3 linked regions of the Daphnia pulex genome follow. The protein of the gene in region 1 purifies or fractionates together with the protein of each later gene. This does not show direct contact. Links are inferred from orthologs where the notes say so. Each region holds a gene or a part of one and is shown in the gene's direction. Other genes may lie near its edges.

Region 1 (6,731 bases):
TGAATTTCTAATACAACAAACAAATGAAAAAGTCTCGAAATGGACCCTCAACGAAGATCTTCGTCATTGTCTCGTGGAAAAAGTCGGCAGAGCTCCCGGAAAACGTTTCGCATATCATTAATAATAAATCCCCGAATAGTTTGCCTTATTCGAAGGCTAAATATAGCTTGAAATTTCACTACAAAAAAGCGGTCAATGAAAAACTTGTGAATAACTTGATGTTGCGACCACTTTCGGCATCCTGGAAACAAGATACTGAATTGTTACGGTTTTTTTTAGCATCAATTGGTATCAATTACCATCACGAGAAAATAACGCGCACTTCGACAAATAATAGAACTTGGGTCAGAAATCAAGTTTTTTAAAGGTAAAAATCAGGAGCAGTAAATTAAAAACAGATTTCAAAACACACAAAAACAGGTCGGTCCTAGAGGGAAATTTACGCTTGCAAAAAGGGAACTGATTATTATGTGGAGCACGACGACGTGTTCTAGCGACATTCGCATTTCGCGGTACGATGTGGCAAGTACATTTCGTAGAAATGCATTTAGAAGGGCGTTGAAAAGCAGAAAGTTACGTTACAGGTGAACATTTAACTATATTTAATATAAAAAACAAATTGGTAGAAATATTTATTAATTAATACATTCTCTATCAACCTGTATTTTCACAGCAAAACATTTTGAATTTTGAATACGTTTGATTACAAATATAATTATGATTTATGATGCAATAATTATTTCAATGACAAATTTTTACTACAATTCTTAAATATCTAGTTACTAGTTGGTCAGTAAATTAAGCTTATTAGAAAAATCCAATTTTGAAATTTATTTTGGGTTCATCATTTTTGCGTAATTTGGCAACTCTGAATAAAAACCGCAGCAGCCGATCTAAAAATAATTCCGTATTGATGTTGTGATTTTCTTATTTTAGCCGATAAAAGTTTAATTCATTACGATAATGCCATCAGTTTTACTAACAGACTCTATTTCATTAGAGCTTGGAGGTAATCATTTTGGATATTTTATATTTTCACATTTATTTCTCACTTTTAAAAAAACCTAATAGCTTTGGAACCTTGGCCTTCTGACGTCAAACTTTATCAGCCCTATGAAGTTGAACAAATTCTATTGCAAGATCAAGCCAATTCTTTGGCTGTCCAAGTTTTTCTGCGAATGTGTGGTTTAGAATTTCAGGTAAATTGGAAAACTAAAACTAAGGAAATCTTAAGTTATTGATTTATTTCTTTTCTTAGGTGGAAATGAGAAGCAATGCTGAGCATATGTCACCATCCGGAAAATTGCCTTTCATAAAATGTGGTGCCTTTGTAGTAGCTGATCTTGACCCTGTTGTCAGTTTTGTGAGCAACAAGGTATTTTCAATATTTTCTCTACAATCCCATTTTATGACGTGTTTTTTTTTGTAGGGTATAAATCTTACAGATCACTTGGATGCTGCTCAAAAAGCAGACATGAGAGCTTACATGTCTTTAGCAAACAATATATTGGGAAATGCAGAGGTATTATATTATTATATTTGTAACTACTTTTGTGTGTTATGTGATTGATGAGCAGTGTTTGTTCCTACTTAGTTATATATCAGCTGGTGTGATGAAACTGTTTTGAATGAAGTAACTGGTCCTCGTTATGGCTCTGTCTATTCTTGGCCTTTGAACACTCTGCTAACCTGGAGAAAACAGAAACAAGTAACTAAGAAATTAACTGCTCTTGGCTGGATTACCAAAACACTTGATGAGGTGATTTGTTTGGTCTAATAGTTTTTGCATTAGAAAATTATTTATTATTTTCCTGCAGGTATATGAAGATGTTGATCATTGCTGTAATGCGCTAAGTGAGCGATTAGGAAACCACCTTTATTTCTTTAATGATAGGTATTAAATTTTTTAAAATGGGTTTCTAATAAAATAAGTGCTGACTTTGTTCCTCGTCATTAGATGCACGGAATTAGATGCGGTTGTCTTTGGCCATGTGTTTACTTTGCTGACCACACCGTTGCCCGACAATAGATTAGCATCCATTGTGCGATCCTACCCGAATCTGGTCGAGGCTTGCCAGTTCCTTGAGAAGACTTACTTCCAGAAACCAACCGCCAAGACAACGGACGATGACAGCGATAATTTTGACTAAGTTCAAATAGTATAGGAAAAGTTGTAAAGTTTATAATAGCCCCATACTTCTGAGATTTACACGCTATTATATTTCATTGATATGATATCCTTTAGAGTAAGCACACACGCGGTTATTAAATACAAGAGTAGAAAATTCAAAAAAATATAGTAAAGGGTTTGAAAAATGAACACTAGGTGGTTTGACTATGCTAGGGGAGGAGTGACACGTTTCAACGTTTTGCCGCTAGGGCAGAGGTTGGGAAATGAGCTGCTTACAGTCAGTTTGGGAACCGGGTTCGGAGCAGAAAATGGCGTCTAGCTTCCTGGACGATTTAATCTCGAACCCGTCAGCGGATGCCGACGCTGTCTCCGCGTTAGTTGGATCACTTGAGAGCCAGTTGAGTAATGCAAATGTTGGTGCTAGTAATAACACACAAGGCGGCGGCTTGGCTTTTACGACAAGCTCTACCTCGTCGGTTCCTCCACCGCTGCAGCCTGCCAATACCCCGTCCGCTGCCACCACAACGGCAACATTCGCGGGAAACGGCAGTAGCCTGCACGCAACAACAACTTGCGCGCCAGCAGCATCAGTTCCGATCGGATCGGCGCTGTCAACGGTCCCTTCTTCAGTCTCTTCTATTCATTTACCAAACACCACCACCGTCCATTCAATACTTCCCAATGGCAATCCCAGTGGTAACACGACAATGTTATTTTTTCATGAACGAAACTGTATTGGACTTGGATTATGAGCTGATAACTGATTGTACTTCTTTCGTTCCTATAGGTATGGTCAACATCCAACAATTTGCAGGAGGTGCTATTGGTCTACCAAATGGCACAGTGGTCACAAGCTCAGGGAACGTTAACACAACACTGTCTGGTATGGTGATCCATCAGCAACAACAGAAGATGGTAGCGTCAACAGCTACTTCTCAGCAACCTACGATGATCATTCCGACTAAAGTTAACCAAACAGTAGCTTCAACAACAGTGATGGGACAGCAACAGCATCATCAACAACAACAACAACAAACTGTGCTGAACACTAATGGAACAGTCACCCTGAATTCATCTCAAGTGTTAAGACAGGGGACCCAAGTGGTTCAACAGCAGCAGCAGACGACCGTGATAAATAGTGCGGGGACAGGAATTCTTCCTGCGGGTGTGCAAGTAGTGAACATGAATGCTATGAGGCCGCAAAACGTACAAAACCTACAAAATATGGCCGCCTTGAACAATCCAGCTCATCGGACGCTTGCTCCTCGTGTGATGTTGGCACCTCAACAGATGGTTGGTGCTCGACCTGGACAAATGGGAATTACTTTACAAGCCTTACAAGTAACGTATCGATTAATAATATAAATCCCCGTGCTGATTGATTCTCTAATTAAAAGGGTTTCCAGGCTGCGGGAGCTCAGGGTCACTTGCTCGTCAAAACCGAAACGGGACAGTATCAGCTCTTACGTGTCGGTCCCGGTCCTGTAGCCGGCACGACAGTTGGGTCACAAGTTGTAACTTCAAACATTCCCTCGTTGCAAAATGTGGCCCAACAGCAGCAGCAACAACAACAACAACCTCAACAACAGCAGCAACAACAAAATATTCAACAATTAACAACGACTTCGAACGCTGTGCCCACGATGAATCAAAACGTTGGGGCTACTTATCGTTTGCAAGTCCCCGTGTCCACAACTATTCAACCTGTGTCCGCTACGACTGCGGCACCTGTTGGTGGGAGTGTGTCTGTTACCCCTACGAACACTTCGGCTCCCACCGCAGCCCCAGCATCAAATCCAGCCAGTAATTCTGGACAGGTGAATACAAACAAGTTCGATGTTTAATAGGATGGCTATTAAAACTTATCATATCCACTTACAGATGACCCCCGACACGGCCAAAGTCAAGTGCAAAAACTTTTTGTCCACTCTGCTACGTCTAGCGAGTGAACAGCCGGAATCTGTGGCCACTAACGTTCAAATGCTCATTCAGGGTTTAGTTGATGCGAAGGTTGAACCAGAGGAGTTTACAACGAAGCTCCAAAGAGAACTCAACTCCTCTCCTCAGCCTTGCCTCATTCCATTTCTCAAGGTATTGTAAAGTTGATCCTACCACTCGACTGTACGTTGTTTGTATTTGTTCTTTATATTGGATTCTTGTTATTTGGTTTCACAGAAAAGCTTGCCCTACTTGAGACAATCCCTAGCTTTACGAGAGTTGCATATTGATGGAATCCGACCGCCAGCCTTAACTACGGTCAACGCTCCGCAGCCCATGGTTATACAACAACAACATCCTCAACAACAGAGTGTTGTCAACCGAGTGAACGCCGGGCCAACGCAGATACAAACTGTACGGCCAATGGGTGGGCAAGTTCGACTCCAAACACCTACAATGGTTGGCGCCTCTGCTGGCACTCTACCCGCTCCACGGCCACCTAGACCAGCAGCCAATAAAGCCACTCCAAAGGCCAAAGCAGCCCAGCAGGCACCTAAAGTGACTGCCACGACAACGGCGGCCGCTGCCTCGACCACAATGACGGCTGTTTCTACTATCAAGACGGAGCCTTCCATTACTTCCGAGTCCCCAGCGCCAATCGCTTTTACCATCCACCTGCCACAAGTCGGAGGAGTAACATCAGCGCCGACTGCCATAACGCCGGGTCCTACACCTTTGGTCACGGTAGCATCGACGTCTTCGGTTCCGACGTCTAGTACGGCAACAAAGCCAACGACTTCGGCGGCAACAGTTTCCGTTGGTCCGGGTGGTATCAAAGGTCCTCTACCTGTACCAACTGGGCCCAAAGACGCTTCGAAGGAGAAAAAAGCTTTTACGTTTGGTTCGTCTCTAGCTGGTCTAGCGGACAACGACATCAACGATGTAGCGGCTATGGGTGGAGTTAACTTGGCAGAAGAATCGCAGCGTATTCTTGGCTCCACCGATATGATTGGTACTCAAATTCGATCCTGCAAAGACGAAAATTTCCTTTTCACCGGTCCCTTGCAGAGGAGAATCCAACAAATTGGTATTGACATCTGTTTTCTTGTTAGAGAAATCGACAAAGCTAATGATTTTATTACGTTTGTTTTTTAGCCTCCAGGAACGGTCTAGGAGATCCTAGTCCGGAAGTAGTTTCGCTTATATCACATGCCACTCAAGAACGATTGAAAACATTGTTGGAAAAGCTTGCCGTCACCGCCGAGCATCGAATGGAAGTTGTCAAAACAGACGCTCGTTACGAAGTCCAACAGGATGTCAAGGGTCAGCTAAAATTCCTCGAGGAACTGGACAAGTTGGAGCGACGAAGGCATAGCGAGATTCAACGCGAAATGCTTTTGAAAGCAGCAAAATCACGTTCGAAAGCTGAAGATCCTGAACAGGCAAAGTTGAAAGCAAAAGCAAAGGAGGTACGTGATAAAATATCTCGTTATAACTGTCACCTTCAAATTCAATGTTGTTAAACTTTGAAAAATTTATTAATTGACAGATGCAACGAGCGGAAATGGAGGAACTGAGACAACGCGAGGCCAACATGACAGCCTTGCAAGCTATTGGTATAAGGAAAAAGCCCAAACTCGACCTGGCTGGTACTACCGGCTCTTACAACCAGGTAAAATCGAACTTTATATTGCATTAAAAGAATTCAATTTTTACCGTTCCAATATTTGTTTTAGGTGCCTTTACGACCGCGTGTCAAGCGCGTAAATCTTCGGGATTTACTGTTCCTGCTAAAAGAAGAGAAAGGAACTATAAGATCCCCTCTGTTGTATAAAGCTTATCTCAAGTAGTCTTCTTTTGTCTCCCTCATCTCTTAAAAAAACACACACACACGTAAGCGTTAAGTTGTTTGCCCATCAACATGCCTGTGAGAGGTGCACATAAGGTTTCCCTATGGGAGTAAAAAAATGAAGCGTTTTATTGGAGGGGAAAACAAGCCTCTGTCCGTCACACCGACACTCTTTATGTTAATTAAGAGCAACGTTATGCAACCATGTCCTTGTTCTCTTCTCCTCCTTCTCCTCCTCGCGACATATGTCCCCCGCCCATCTTCTGTTGTACATACTGTTGATTTATTTGTGCGGGGGGCGGCGTGAAAATGTTCTTTTCTCTCTATTTCAATCTATCTATCTCTCTGAAATGATTATGTCTTTTGTATAATGTATCAGTGTGTGGATGGTTATGACGAAATCATGGAATGCTTTATAATGACGCCACATTTCAATCTTGTATCAACTTAAGAGATTCAATTGGAATTGGGACCTGGTGGACGTTCACCTTCCCATTCCTGAATCTCCTTTTTAATTCAAATGTTCATTTTTCTTCCCATCGCATTCGAATGCAGTGCGTACGTGATGTCGGACCAAAACAAGAGAGGCGAAGAAAAGAAAATTTACGTTTTTTTTTTAATTATTTGGCGGCAAGTTAGTGTGTCTTCGATCCCTTTATTTTGTTTTTGTTTCATCCAACTCAATCCAACCTTATTATCTTACTTTATAGCTTTGTTTCTCTCTTTATCCCATCCTTACCAGACACATAAATTGCACATAGGAGAACGTACAACACCGAGAAATCGACCAGCTTCACCTGCCAGAACCCACCT
Region 2 (5,463 bases), on another chromosome or scaffold:
CTTTATCCTTATTCTCCTTGGTTTCCTTGGGGTGCTTACAAAGGTACATCACTGCTTTACCAATTCCAGACTGTTTTAGCGTCCCTTGATCCAGCGGTGGAAACTAGTTTGAAAATACGTAATTTAATTTAGGGTCTGGAACAGAAAGGAAAATAAAGGACATTTACTTCTTGAAGCATAGCGAGAATTTGCTCGCGAATTCTCAGAGCCGGAAGGCTGCGATCCGGCATTGGAGCAAGCCAATCTGTAAGAACGCTAAGTATGTTGTGTTCAATGAAAGCCATCTGTAGATCATGCTTCCGTAGCTGTGCAATAACTGTCGGAAGAAGAGAAATTTTCTTGGTTGCTGGTTTTCGATTTTTGTTGAACTCACGATCCTCCTTTACACAGCAACATTAAAAAAACGCATTAATATTATTGATGACTGATTCGAAGACCATTTTTACTTCAGAAGCAGCTTTCATTTGTTGAATCATATGAGCAATCAAGTCATCGTTATCGTTAATGATGTCGACGTCTTTGCGCTTGCGCTTCCGTTTTTCATCCTTTTTGCGGGCCATCATCAGGTCAAAATCAGAAACAAATTCTGACCTGTTAATACAAACATCAATAATGAATTTAAAAAATGACAACGAAAATTTCACATGATTTTTTTTTTTTACCTTTGATCATCATCTGGATTATCTGATTCAGAATCTTGTCCCTTATCTGAATCATCCTGTTTTGGTTGTTTAGTTTCGTCTTTTTTTGGTGCTTCGTCACCAGATTCCCCAAAAACATCGTCCAAAACTTTTTTGTCTTTTTCGTTTCGACTACCCCCTTCTTCATCACTTGAATCTCCAGCTGGACGAGCAATACGTGATTTCGTCTTTTCTTTTTTCTTCGAGCTTCCAGGTCCGTCGGAGTCACTGCCACTTCGACTGTGTTTACGTTTACGAGTACCACCTCCCCTGCTTTTCACGCTGGACGCCGACGAAGATCTTGATCTAGATCTTGAGCCTTTAGACCTGGATCCTTTTTGGAAAACATTTGTACATTAACAAAACACGAATCGGATTACCCAAAACTACTATTACGTGATCGTGATTTTGAACGGCTTCGGGATCTCGAGCGAGAACCAGACCTTGAACGTGATTTAGAAGATCTGCGTGACGAACGCGATCTCGAACGAGACGAACGAGAACCAGATCTAGAACGTGACCTGGAGCCTATTTATTTTAACACCAGTTATTATTTGGAATATTATAATTGTTTTAATCTCATCAAAATTTTTAGCAACTAATACAGTACCTTTTCGAGAAACTGATTTAGAGTGACTTCTAGATCTTGAGCCTGAACGTGATTTAGAGCGAGACCGTGATTTTGACGAACGGCGTGACGAACGGCGTGACGAACGTGACCCTGATCGAGAACGAGACCCAGATTTTGATCTAGATGAAGAACGAGATCTTGATCTTGAATGTGATTTGGAAGCAGATGGTGATCGACTTCTAGAGCCTTTCTTCAAATGGGGAGACTGAGAGCCATCATCATCTTTTGCTTTGTCTGTGATTTTAATAGTAGATTGACATCGTATTATAAGAAATAAACATAACTTCACTCAACTTACCATAATCATTAGAAACATTGGAATTGTTGGCTTTATCTTCTATTTCTTTCTGTTCACTTGACACTGAATCATTTCCATCCTTCCCCAGACTTCCTTCCTTGGAATCTTCTGCATCGTCTTTGATGTTTGGCTCAGACATGTGCAAAGAGTCATCCATCCTCTAAAGGCTGTTTAGAATAGAAAAAGTACCATTGTTTCAACTTTATTCACAAATGTTGTGAATCTATATTGCTTAAATTATGATGAGATTAATAGAACATATCGTTTTAATTAGGAAATGTTGTGATGCCGGTAAAAAAGATGTTTGAACGTAATAAATAAATTCAATTTCTTTAACCAGAACACAGAATCATAATCTTCATTGGAATGTGCATGTCTTACCTAGTGTTGACTGATCGACGGTTAGGGATTAATTAAAATCTTAAAAAAAAGAGAAAGATTAAAACTTTTGGTTTTATTGTGTGCTCGTCTTCCAGCACACAAACAAATGAATAAAAATGCTCAAAGCTAACGCTAGATGGCTGAAGGATAAGTTGACAGCCCAACTTATTCTGTTAACAAAAGTGAAATGAGACAGCCTCGAAGGAATCTTTTGAATTCAAGTCAATAATAGTTGGTTTATTTGGTTTATTGGTATCTCAGTTTGATTTCAAATCTAACGACCATGTCTACAAAAATTCCCCGTGATGCTCTAGTAATTCAAGCTATCCTAAAAGATATGGGCATTACTGAATACGAGCCTAGGGTTATCAATCAACTGTTGGAATTCATATACCGTAAGCCTAGGAATAGTCAAATAGAACGATTATGAACGACTTTTCATTAACTGTTTTTAATCTTAGGATATGTGACTACTGTCCTAGATGACGCTAAGGCATATGCAAATCATGCTAAGAAAAAAGGGATTGATTTGGACGATGTCAAACTTGCTGTTTCAATGCAAATGGAACAATCTTTCACTTCTCCCCCACCACGTGAAGTATACAGAATTTACAATAGAAATAAGTTATTTGGCCATATTCTCATCTATTTCACATTTAGATTCTCATGGAAGTTGCAAGATCAAAAAATAGCACACCTCTACCTTCAGTGAAACCACACTGTGGCATTCGCCTGCCACCTGACTGTCATTGCCTTGCTGCTTGCAATTACAAGTTGAAAACTATCAAAAAGACATTACCAAAGGCTCTTGGTGGTGGATCGACTACTGGATCTAGAATTGGTATGCTGGGGGCGGCAAGAGCTGTGCACCGACCGAGTTCACCTGCAGTTCGGGTCACTACGATTAATGCGGGAACTCCCACAACTCCTCGACCTGTTGTGAAGATCAACACTGGTTCTGCAATTAATACTCCCGCCAATGTTCCAAAGATTCAGATCAATATTCCGGCTCAGCCCAATCAGCCAGCAGAGAAAATGGAAATTGATGTTCGAGGAGTGAAGCGTGAAAGAGAGGACGATGATTATGATGCTGCGTGAATTATTGGAATGGTTTCTTATTTCATTAAATTTCTTACAAGCTCGCGTTACGTTGCCTGAGTAATGATAAATTCTTGAATAAATCAATCGACTTAAGATTTTTTCTTCATGCTATCCAAGTATTTAAAAAATGAATTAACGTTGCTCGTGTAATATGGCTTCCAGATGTACATAGGAAAGATGTTCAACTCAATGTTTTATCACCTTAGCACACATGTTTGACACGAGAAAAGGAATCTTAAAGGGGGACAACGAGTGCTGAGGAACACAATGGAACGGCTGACGAGACAAAATCAGCTTGGTTTCTGAAAGTAAAATCATAGGGTTGAAAACTGCTATGCAGACTTGATCGTGTTGAACTTTGCAAATGGGGGGGGGGCGAATAGTTAAAATGTATGAGAAAAAAAAATGAAGGAATTCCATGTGCTCATCAAATGTTGCAGTATTAACTGCACGTGTAGAAAAACTATTCGCAGCCCGGTGGGACCAAGTCTTCATCGTCGTCACCACCTCCATCGTCCCATTTACTTCCAACTTTACGACGATCAGACTGGGACGACGATGCTGTCACAGCGGCAACTGGAGCGGGTACAGGACCAGGTTTCTCTTCACGTGCTGGACTACGTTGCTGTACATCTCTTTCTCCACTTTCTCGTTCGTTACGATGCTGATCCTGATCATTACGACCTTGAGGACTTGTATCTCTGGCATCCCGGTTATCTCTTGCATCTCGGTCACGACCGCGATAGTTGTCCTGGCGGCTACGGGAGCGGCTGCGAGATGGACTGCGGCTTACACTGCGACTGTAGCTGCGTGAGCGGCTGCGAGAACGGGATCGAGTGCGGCTACGGCTTCGACTACGCGAATACGATCGTTGCATTTGCTGTTGCCAATAGCCGCCTCTGTTGCGACCACGGTGGCGGCGATTATCATATCCTCCTAAATCAAATATTCAAGTAAATACAAAGCTCTAAATTTTAATAACCTTACTGAATACCTTGATTGTTGTTGTTGTTATTATGATAAGGTCGATTGTTGTACGGGCGGTTGTTATATCCTCCACGATTGTTATTGTAGTTGTTATTCCAACCACGACCACGGTTCTGAAAGCCACCACGTTGGGGATAGCGTCCGCCACGATGATGATAGTTTTGATTCGGATGGCGGTTTCCTCCGCGATAACGTTGATTTTGGTGGCGTCTATCGCCGGAATGGGATCGTGATCGTCTACGGCGGTCGCGAGACCCAGACCGAGACCGAGATCTAGAACCAGATCGTGAATATGACCTCCCACGACTTCGGCTTCGAGATTGGCTACGCGAACGTGAGCGGCGGCGTTGAGACCGCGAACGGGATCTGCTTCCACGCTCTTTCTCTTGATTGGCCTATAACATTTAATCGCGATTTAACTTTATTCTTATTTTGAAATTTCTTTGATCAACTAACCTCCGACTGAGCTTGCTCATTGGTTTTTGGCGGACTGACTGGTTTGGGCGGTGCCTGACGAGGACCCGGGCCAAACAATCCAAATGACTGTATCTTAAAAGAGACTTTGTCTTCCCCTATTTAAACAATAAAACGTTATTTTTAAACAAAAATTCAAAAAATAAAAGATACAAAATAAAAATGGAATCAAGGCAAACGTAAAAAATAAAAATATTAATTACTGAAGTCACCTGGCGGCATCTCCTCTTCTTGTTCAACAGGTGCTTGTTGAGCTGGCGGAGCTCTTTTCTCTTCTTTCATGTATACCATACGACTTTCTTCAACTTCGGGCTCGTCAGACCCACGACCCAACTTCACCTTCAACGCCATGGGTCGCCATTTTCCTGGATAATCATCGTCATCACCAGATGCACCTCCAGCTGAAGCCGACATTCCTGCGGCTCCGGGTGTTGGTACATAAGACGGTGGCGGAACGGGCTCGGGTTTCACATTCAATTTGGATTCGCCACCACGTAATAAACCAGCGGCAGCAGCAAGATCTTCTAATGCTTTTTTCGCTTTGCGCTTTTTCCTTTCCAGTTCAGAATCAGAAGAACTAAACAGATCAAAAATGAGAAAACGAACACAAGACCTAAAAATTCGATGGATTTCTTTTTACCTGCCCGATGACGAAGACGAATCGCTTGAATTTGAAGAGTGCCTCTTGCGCTTCTTCTTCTTCTTTGACGACTCCTTAGCCGTTAGCTTATTGTAAACAGCACTAAGCTTGGCTTCGAGTTCCCCAAGTTCATCCAATCCAGACAGACTAAATGGAAATGAATGAAATCAAGCATTCTGTTATAAACTAATCAAGATTGTTCACTTACTTGGGTGATATCTGTTTATCAGAATCTTCATCGTCCGAACCCTTCTTTTTTTTCTTGTGCTTC
Region 3 (6,636 bases), about 11 Mb from region 1:
GTCAGCCAAGACGGCCATGAACGTCAACGACATCTTCTTGGCTATCGGTAAATTCAACTCATTACTCACATGCAATTATTCTTCTCTATGTACATCTTTCTTTTTGCACTTGACAGCCAAGAAACTACCTAAGAACGACGGAGCTGGAGGTGTTGGCGGAAGCAGTGGGCAGGGTAGGAGGCTAGACAGAGCTGAAGACGGCAACAAACCAGCTTCCTCGTGCTGCAAGTGATCACGAAATAATTAAACAACAAAAAAAAGAAACTAAACAAAGAAAAAAAACACATACTACACACATTTATGAAAGACAACAAAAACAACAAAAAAACCATATATTAAAAAAAAAGAAAAAATCATCCGTTCTTTGTTTTCTTTGTTTTTTCCACACGCGGGGATCCAATTCCTTTTCTTTCTTATTATTATTTTTCCCTAATTTTTTTTTTTGTAAACCATCAAAAGGACTTTTATATCATATCCCTTTACAGCATCCCCCTCCCCCCATCAGAATATAATTTGCAGCATTTAAATAGTTACAACCTTTTTTGGGGATTATCCGTTGTGTCGATCGTTTATTTTTTAATTTTTTTTTTATTCAAACGGAGCAGCGACATTCCAAATTAAATGGCGAATTTGAATTGGAAAAGAAAACAAGGCAAGGGTTTACAAAAAATAATGGCCTGACTCTGTATTATTAAATCTCCCGACCATCATCAACCATGTTTTTTTTCTATTTTGGTTTTTACATAACACACACCTTTTTTCCCCCCACGTTTTTACTTCAAACAAACTTGTGTGATGGTTCTTTTTTCTCGTGTGTAGAATTTCTTCCCCCCGTTTCTTTTGTGTATACTCGAACCTCCCCCCCGCCCTTCAAAACTTTTGTATATCAAGCTTTGTGAAACCTTGATTACCTTTTTTTTTTTTTATATACAAATCAATGTAGGTGTTCCACACATTTCTTCTCTATATACCTATTTAGCTTTTTCTCTCCTTGATCATGATCGTGGCCCTCCCAATATCTTTCGAATAATGTCCTAACTTGGATATCGTGTAAGTAACGCTGCTATATCAGGAAATGTACATTTCTTGCCTTGCCCGTTGATTTCATTTCATTCTTTCTTTAATTGGCTTTACTGATACTGATAAGCCTTTGCACTTTGGAAGTTGAAATGAGTGGAGAAATAACGAGAAAAATTTGGATATTCTTGTGAAAAGGCGAATCTATATTGATGCACATGGTACAAATACGAATGACATTTCACAAGAGGTAATTTTTTTTACAGCCAAATTTCAGCAGCTTTTGTCCAAGTGGGAACTCGTGGTGGTAATTAGTTTTCTGGTTCTGGATGACAGCTGACCCAGAATTACCTAGTGAAAGAACAGAACAGTTAGAGACAATTTACACGGCGTCATTAAAACTAGTGAACTTACCTAAGAATCAGACTGCCATTTGCTTCCATGTGACTGCGAGTGGTTGAGAATGGATTTACTTGGAGCGAGCACGCATCTTCCTGCGCTTACGCTTAAGCCTACGCATACGCTTCTTACGCCACTAAAGAAAGAAAGAGCCGGCCATTAGATTCACAAGCCTCGAGACAAGCATCACAGTACACCGATACATGAAACACATAGAATAGGTAGAAAAACGATAATTACCTTAGCTCTCATGATGCAGTCGGTCTCTAAATGAAACAAGGAAAACGAAACAGTCGGTTAGAGATGTTGAAAACGAGGCAATTGTTGGATGATATTGGATTTTGTTAACTCAGTAAAACCAAGAATGAACTTACCTAGGAAAGACTGCAGAGAAGAGTGAGAGAGCCAGTGCCTGATGGTCTCCTACATTGCCTATTTCCGTTTCCACTCCTTTCTTTAAAAATAGTTGAAATATTATATCGTAAAACATATTAAAACCTATATTAATTTGATGCTAGAAAAATTAGCAATTTTATTATGGGTAAAGTATTGTTTTAATTAATATTTTAGTAAATAAATTTGATAACTGGCACAATGCAAACCCGCTGTCGGGGTTGTTTACAACGAAAAAAAAAAGGAAAAATGGAGTTCGATATGAATCAGATATCTCAAACAAGTAATTCAAACGCGAAAATTGAAGCATCTGAAAGTCAAAACAGTGAAGTTCCAAGTGAAAACAGTGCAGTTCAACCTGTAGAACCAGAAAATGTCGACTCCAATACCCTTGCGGCCGTATTACAGTTTCTTCAGAAGCACAACCTGAAAGTAACTGAAAATGACATGATTATTTTTAAATTTCGGCGTCTCATTTATTTACAATGTATTAGGGGACGGCTGATATTTTGAAAAAAGAAGCACGGCTCAAGGAGGATCAATTACGAGATGCACAAGCTCTTCAAGTGGATTCAGAGGCAACAAATTTGCTCTCATCATACAAGAGCGAAGGAGACCCAAATGCCTACGAAAAAGCTTACCTAAGTTACAGGAGATTTGTGGAAAGCTCGCTGGATGTTTATAAAGTATGGTCAAAAGATATTCAACTCAATTTCAAATAATAATTTCAATTTGTTTACTTTTCAGCATGAGCTGTCCCTAGTATTGTACCCTTTATTTGTCCACATGTATTTGGAAATGATTTACAACCAACATGAATCAGAAGCCGCTAAATTTATGGAACGTTTTTCAACAGATCAGGAAGATTATTATCAGGATGATCTTAAAAAAGTTTCTTTTATTACCAAAAAAGAACACATGAAAGGCAGTGATCTCATGGAGAATTTCAAGTAACAAATCACTTTTTTTTTAAATAAAATCGTCAATCATAAAAACTTAAATTGTTAAACAGATCAAGTCAGTTCACCGTTCGAATGTCCCGGGATACTTACTCGGTTTTGAAGCGGTTTTTGCAGGACAAGAACCAATCAATTGTCATGAACGTCATTCAGGAACACTTGTACGTCGACATGTACGAAGGAGTGCCGAGAAATAAAGCCCAAGTTGAATCCACAGCCGGAGCCATGGAAGGCGAGGCCAACAGACAAGGTACACAAATCAAGAGATTAGAAAGAAATCCCCAAAACAATTACCAATTCTTTTCACTTACAGTAAACAAGACCAAAATCTACTATGGTCTGCTCAAAGAGCCCGATATCCAGCTTCCGGTAGTCGAGGAGGAAGAGGACGGAGAACCCGGCGAAGGTGGTGAAAAGCCCAAAAAGAAGAAACCCAAAAAGGATCCGTTGCTCAACAAGAAAGCCAAGAGCGACCCTAATGCTCCACCGGCCAGCCGATTGCCATTACCAGATTTGTAAGATGCAGATGCAGTGAAAAATGGTGTGGAAAAAAAGGAAAATGGTTGAGCTGTGAGTTTCTGTTTCAGGAGAGATATCGACAAACTGGAGAAGGTCAGGGCCCTACGAGAAGCCAGCAAGAGGGTGGCTCTTGGTCCAGACAATTTGCCGTCCATTTGTTTCTACACGATGCTGAATTGCGCGGAAACGTCAGTTATTCTAATTTACCTGATTTTTTCCATTCAATTTGAAATTATAATTTTTTTTCTTTTTCCCTTTTTGTGAATGACAGGGTCACGTGCGTCGAATTCTGCGAGGATTCGTCACTATTAGCCGTAGGGTTTTCCGATTCCATCCTCAAAGTTTGGAGTCTTGTACCCCAGAAACTCCGGGCCATGAAACCGGCCGAGCAATTGGCCGATATCGACAAGGAGGCCGAAGATGTTCTCGTTCGTATGATGGACGACAAGACGGGTGAGACTATGAAAGTCCTTCACGGCCATTGCGGGCCGGTTTACGCTGCCTCGTTCAGTCACGACCGGACGTTACTCTTATCATCGTCGGAAGACGCCACGATCCGGCTGTGGAGTTTGCAGACGTGGACCTGCCTGGTGGTCTATAAAGGCCACATTTACCCCGTGTGGGACGTGAGGTTTTCCCCTCACGGCTACTATTTCTCATCAGTCGGACATGATCGGACTGCCAGACTTTGGGCCACCGATCATCACCAGCCTTTAAGGATCTTTGCCGGCCATTATTCAGACGTTGACGTGGTCCAATTCCATCCCAATTCCAATTACGTCGCCACAGGTTCCAGCGATAGGAGCGTCCGTTTATGGGATTGCGTAACTGGCAACTGTGTCCGGCTAATGACTGGTCATAAAGTAAAAACATTTTCATCCTTTTTATGAGTTTGTTTTTCTTTACAAGTTTTTTGTTTGTGTAGGGAACCGTCTCGGCGTTGTGTTTCTCCACCGACGGCCGTTTTCTGGCATCCGGTGGAGCTGATCAAAAAGTCCTGTTATGGGATCTGGCTCACGGTCACTTATTGGCCGACCTGCCTGGGCACACGATGACAATCTCCAGTTTGGCCTTCAGTCGAGACGGGACCGTGTTCGCCACGTCTTCCCTGGACGGCTCCATCCAACTGTGGGATTTCTTCCGGATGACGGATGAGTCCTCTTTAGAGGACGTCAACATCTCGGGTCACAATCCAGACCTTCTCAAGCGGAGTAACGCCATTGAATCGCTCCGCCTGGCACGTTACCCGACCAAAGCCACTCCTGTCATGTCATTGCATTTCACGCGGAGGAATTTGCTACTCGCTGCCGGCATGTTTGAAGGCTAATCCCTCGATTCACACCAATTTTTAAAAAATAATAATAAGAATTAAAATACATATAACTTTGTCTCTTATTTCCACAGATCCATTTTGTTGTTGTCAAGTCGGGAAAAACCAAATTCTGTCGAGTTGGCTACGTATTTTTCGTAAACGTGCCTAGTGAACCTCGAGACCGCTGTATAAATAGAAGATAATCGACCTGGTTTTTTCCGAGTCGATCTAGAAGTTTCCAGTTTGAGTCAGTCCGAATGGTTAAATTCCTATTGCTACGCAGTGAACCTTTGAATTTGAACCAAACCTTGGAAAAATCCCAAAGAACTGTTCAAATATTAAAAGAAAAACGAGCAAAGTCTAGACCATAAAATGGAGACTTAACGGGATAATAAAATTCAAATTTCTTTGTAGACCAAATAAGGTTGGAGCTAGACAAAAGTCACACGTAACTTGTTTCTTTGGACACGTATAGCGACCGGTCGGTCGTCATGTGTGCACACATAATTTATTATTTTTTCGCCAATAATTAATTTTAATTGAATCAGAAAAAAATCCCGGAAATTTGATTTAGTCCCAAGTGTATTAAAATACTGTATTCTTATCGCGTTGTCGTTCAAAGATTCCTTCAACAGAAGAAAGGAACTGTTGATTTATTATCACACATAAGGGAATGACGCAATCGGCTGTGTAGGCCCCAACACACCAAATGTGGCATAGCAACATTACATGTATACATCAAACAGCTTTGCGTAGGGGTAGCCAAAAAAAGGGATTTTAACTGAAATGACTCGACAGAAAGTTGTCGGTTGGGGGGCTCGGTTCGACCAATGCCAAAACATTGTGTACGTGTCCCAGTTTATTCGCACGTAACAATGTTCGTCAGCGAAAATGTTTACCATTCGTATAATGAACGTCAGCTGGCGCAGTTGCCATGCAAAGTCAACGAATACGTAATATATTTTTTCGCCAGAAAAAAGGGTGTGTTAATAGGGAAAAGAAAAATGCTAAAAGATTTGTGTACGGTTTGGCAGCAGCAGTTAAAAAAAAAAGCCTCCCTCCAGTTTTTCGTGACACGAGTTGAGCACGTGAACAGCTAGTGGTTGGGCTCGTCTCTGATTGGCTGGCCATTCGCTTGTGGCGCCAATTTGATCGCGCGGGATATTCCGTCAGCGCGGGCTCAACCCACCACGTTTTTTATTTTTCCTCTCCACTTCCCCACGTTCTCTACACACACACTTGTGTGTGTGTTCCTTTTTTTATTATTCCCAAACATTTTCTCAAAATTTTACACAGTCAGACCCTGTTAAAAGCTAAAAGATTCGGTACTAGTGAACCACAGTCGTTCACGTCGTCTTCAAGTGTTCACACACACAATCGTCTAAACTCCTCCAACCGTGTATCGTGCGATTATCAGGATTATTTCACGCCGCATTTGACAAGCAATATTTTTTTAAATAAGTTTTTCCTAAAAATGGATTTGACCAAGAATAATAATAACGAAGCAGAAGTTTTGATGACACCACCGGCCACACCGACCAACAAAACTCTTCAACTTCATTTCGATCAACATTCAGCTGTAAGTTTATTTCTTTTTTCTCCCAGTATGTTTTTTTAAATCTGTACTTATGTAATGCACGAAAATAGTTGGATGACAGCAGATTTTCTTTTTTGGTCGTGAGGTCATTGGGTACAAACATCACGTAGTCCACAATTGCGCGTGTGTGTGTAGGGCCGAATCGAATATGCAACGTAATGCCAACATGTGGCGAATGGCACTAACAAAATTATCACGTAGTTAAACTCGAATTTTTCAAGTGAACCAACCAACCCAGGGGAGGTGGGTGGGAAAAGCCCCCGTTGATTTTCTCTACCGAATTTTTGTCTGTTGTTGTGGGCCGCCTTCGTCACTCGCCGATCACGTGATACCCATTGTGTATATTATGTGTGTGTGTGTGGCGTTCGTGAGTGCTATATTTCGCTTTCCCGGCACCTTTTTTAAATTAAAAAAAAAAGAGAGCGACTTTCACTATGTGT

What was found.
Region 2: the proteins of transcription initiation factor TFIID subunit 4-like (region 1) and transcription initiation factor TFIID subunit 9-like purify together in Drosophila melanogaster (affinity purification with western blotting; 4 studies listed by BioGRID, with this or other methods). This does not show direct contact. The link is inferred for Daphnia pulex from reciprocal best matches to the Drosophila melanogaster genes Taf4 and Taf9.
Region 3: the proteins of transcription initiation factor TFIID subunit 4-like (region 1) and transcription initiation factor TFIID subunit 5-like purify together in Drosophila melanogaster (affinity purification with western blotting; 3 studies listed by BioGRID). This does not show direct contact. The link is inferred for Daphnia pulex from reciprocal best matches to the Drosophila melanogaster genes Taf4 and Taf5.

The regions. Positions count from the first base shown.
Region 1 is NC_060026.1:12,792,492-12,799,222, reverse strand, and holds transcription initiation factor TFIID subunit 4-like, read left to right. Parts: upstream 1-2,387; 5' UTR 2,388-2,394; coding exon 2,395-2,827; intron 2,828-2,918; coding exon 2,919-3,472; intron 3,473-3,528; coding exon 3,529-3,948; intron 3,949-4,012; coding exon 4,013-4,222; intron 4,223-4,306; coding exon 4,307-5,156; intron 5,157-5,224; coding exon 5,225-5,538; intron 5,539-5,618; coding exon 5,619-5,741; intron 5,742-5,805; coding exon 5,806-5,919; 3' UTR 5,920-6,520; downstream 6,521-6,731. Other genes in the region: metaxin-2-like, read left to right, coding at 964-1,009, 1,072-1,199, 1,259-1,375, 1,430-1,522, 1,595-1,759, 1,818-1,894, 1,958-2,150. UniProt on the Drosophila melanogaster protein: TFIID is a multimeric protein complex that plays a central role in mediating promoter responses to various activators and repressors.
Region 2 is NC_060027.1:3,087,172-3,092,634, reverse strand, and holds transcription initiation factor TFIID subunit 9-like, read left to right. Parts: upstream 1-2,144; 5' UTR 2,145-2,273; coding exon 2,274-2,385; intron 2,386-2,451; coding exon 2,452-2,588; intron 2,589-2,650; coding exon 2,651-3,088; 3' UTR 3,089-3,184; downstream 3,185-5,463. Other genes in the region: protein IWS1 homolog, read right to left, coding at 1-103, 168-380, 447-591, 663-1,014, 1,077-1,208, 1,291-1,545, 1,610-1,766; G patch domain-containing protein 8-like, read right to left, coding at 3,555-4,027, 4,086-4,473, 4,535-4,650, 4,756-5,129, 5,193-5,339, 5,401-5,463. UniProt on the Drosophila melanogaster protein: TFIID is a multimeric protein complex that plays a central role in mediating promoter responses to various activators and repressors.
Region 3 is NC_060026.1:1,543,349-1,549,984, forward strand, and holds transcription initiation factor TFIID subunit 5-like, read left to right. Parts: upstream 1-2,023; 5' UTR 2,024-2,058; coding exon 2,059-2,241; intron 2,242-2,303; coding exon 2,304-2,495; intron 2,496-2,556; coding exon 2,557-2,759; intron 2,760-2,821; coding exon 2,822-3,018; intron 3,019-3,081; coding exon 3,082-3,283; intron 3,284-3,355; coding exon 3,356-3,475; intron 3,476-3,558; coding exon 3,559-4,150; intron 4,151-4,212; coding exon 4,213-4,614; 3' UTR 4,615-4,682; downstream 4,683-6,636. Other genes in the region: ras-related protein Rab-5C-like, read left to right, coding at 1-47, 117-232; Krueppel-like factor 10, read left to right, coding at 6,074-6,178. UniProt on the Drosophila melanogaster protein: TFIID is a multimeric protein complex that plays a central role in mediating promoter responses to various activators and repressors. May play a role in helping to anchor Taf4 within the TFIID complex.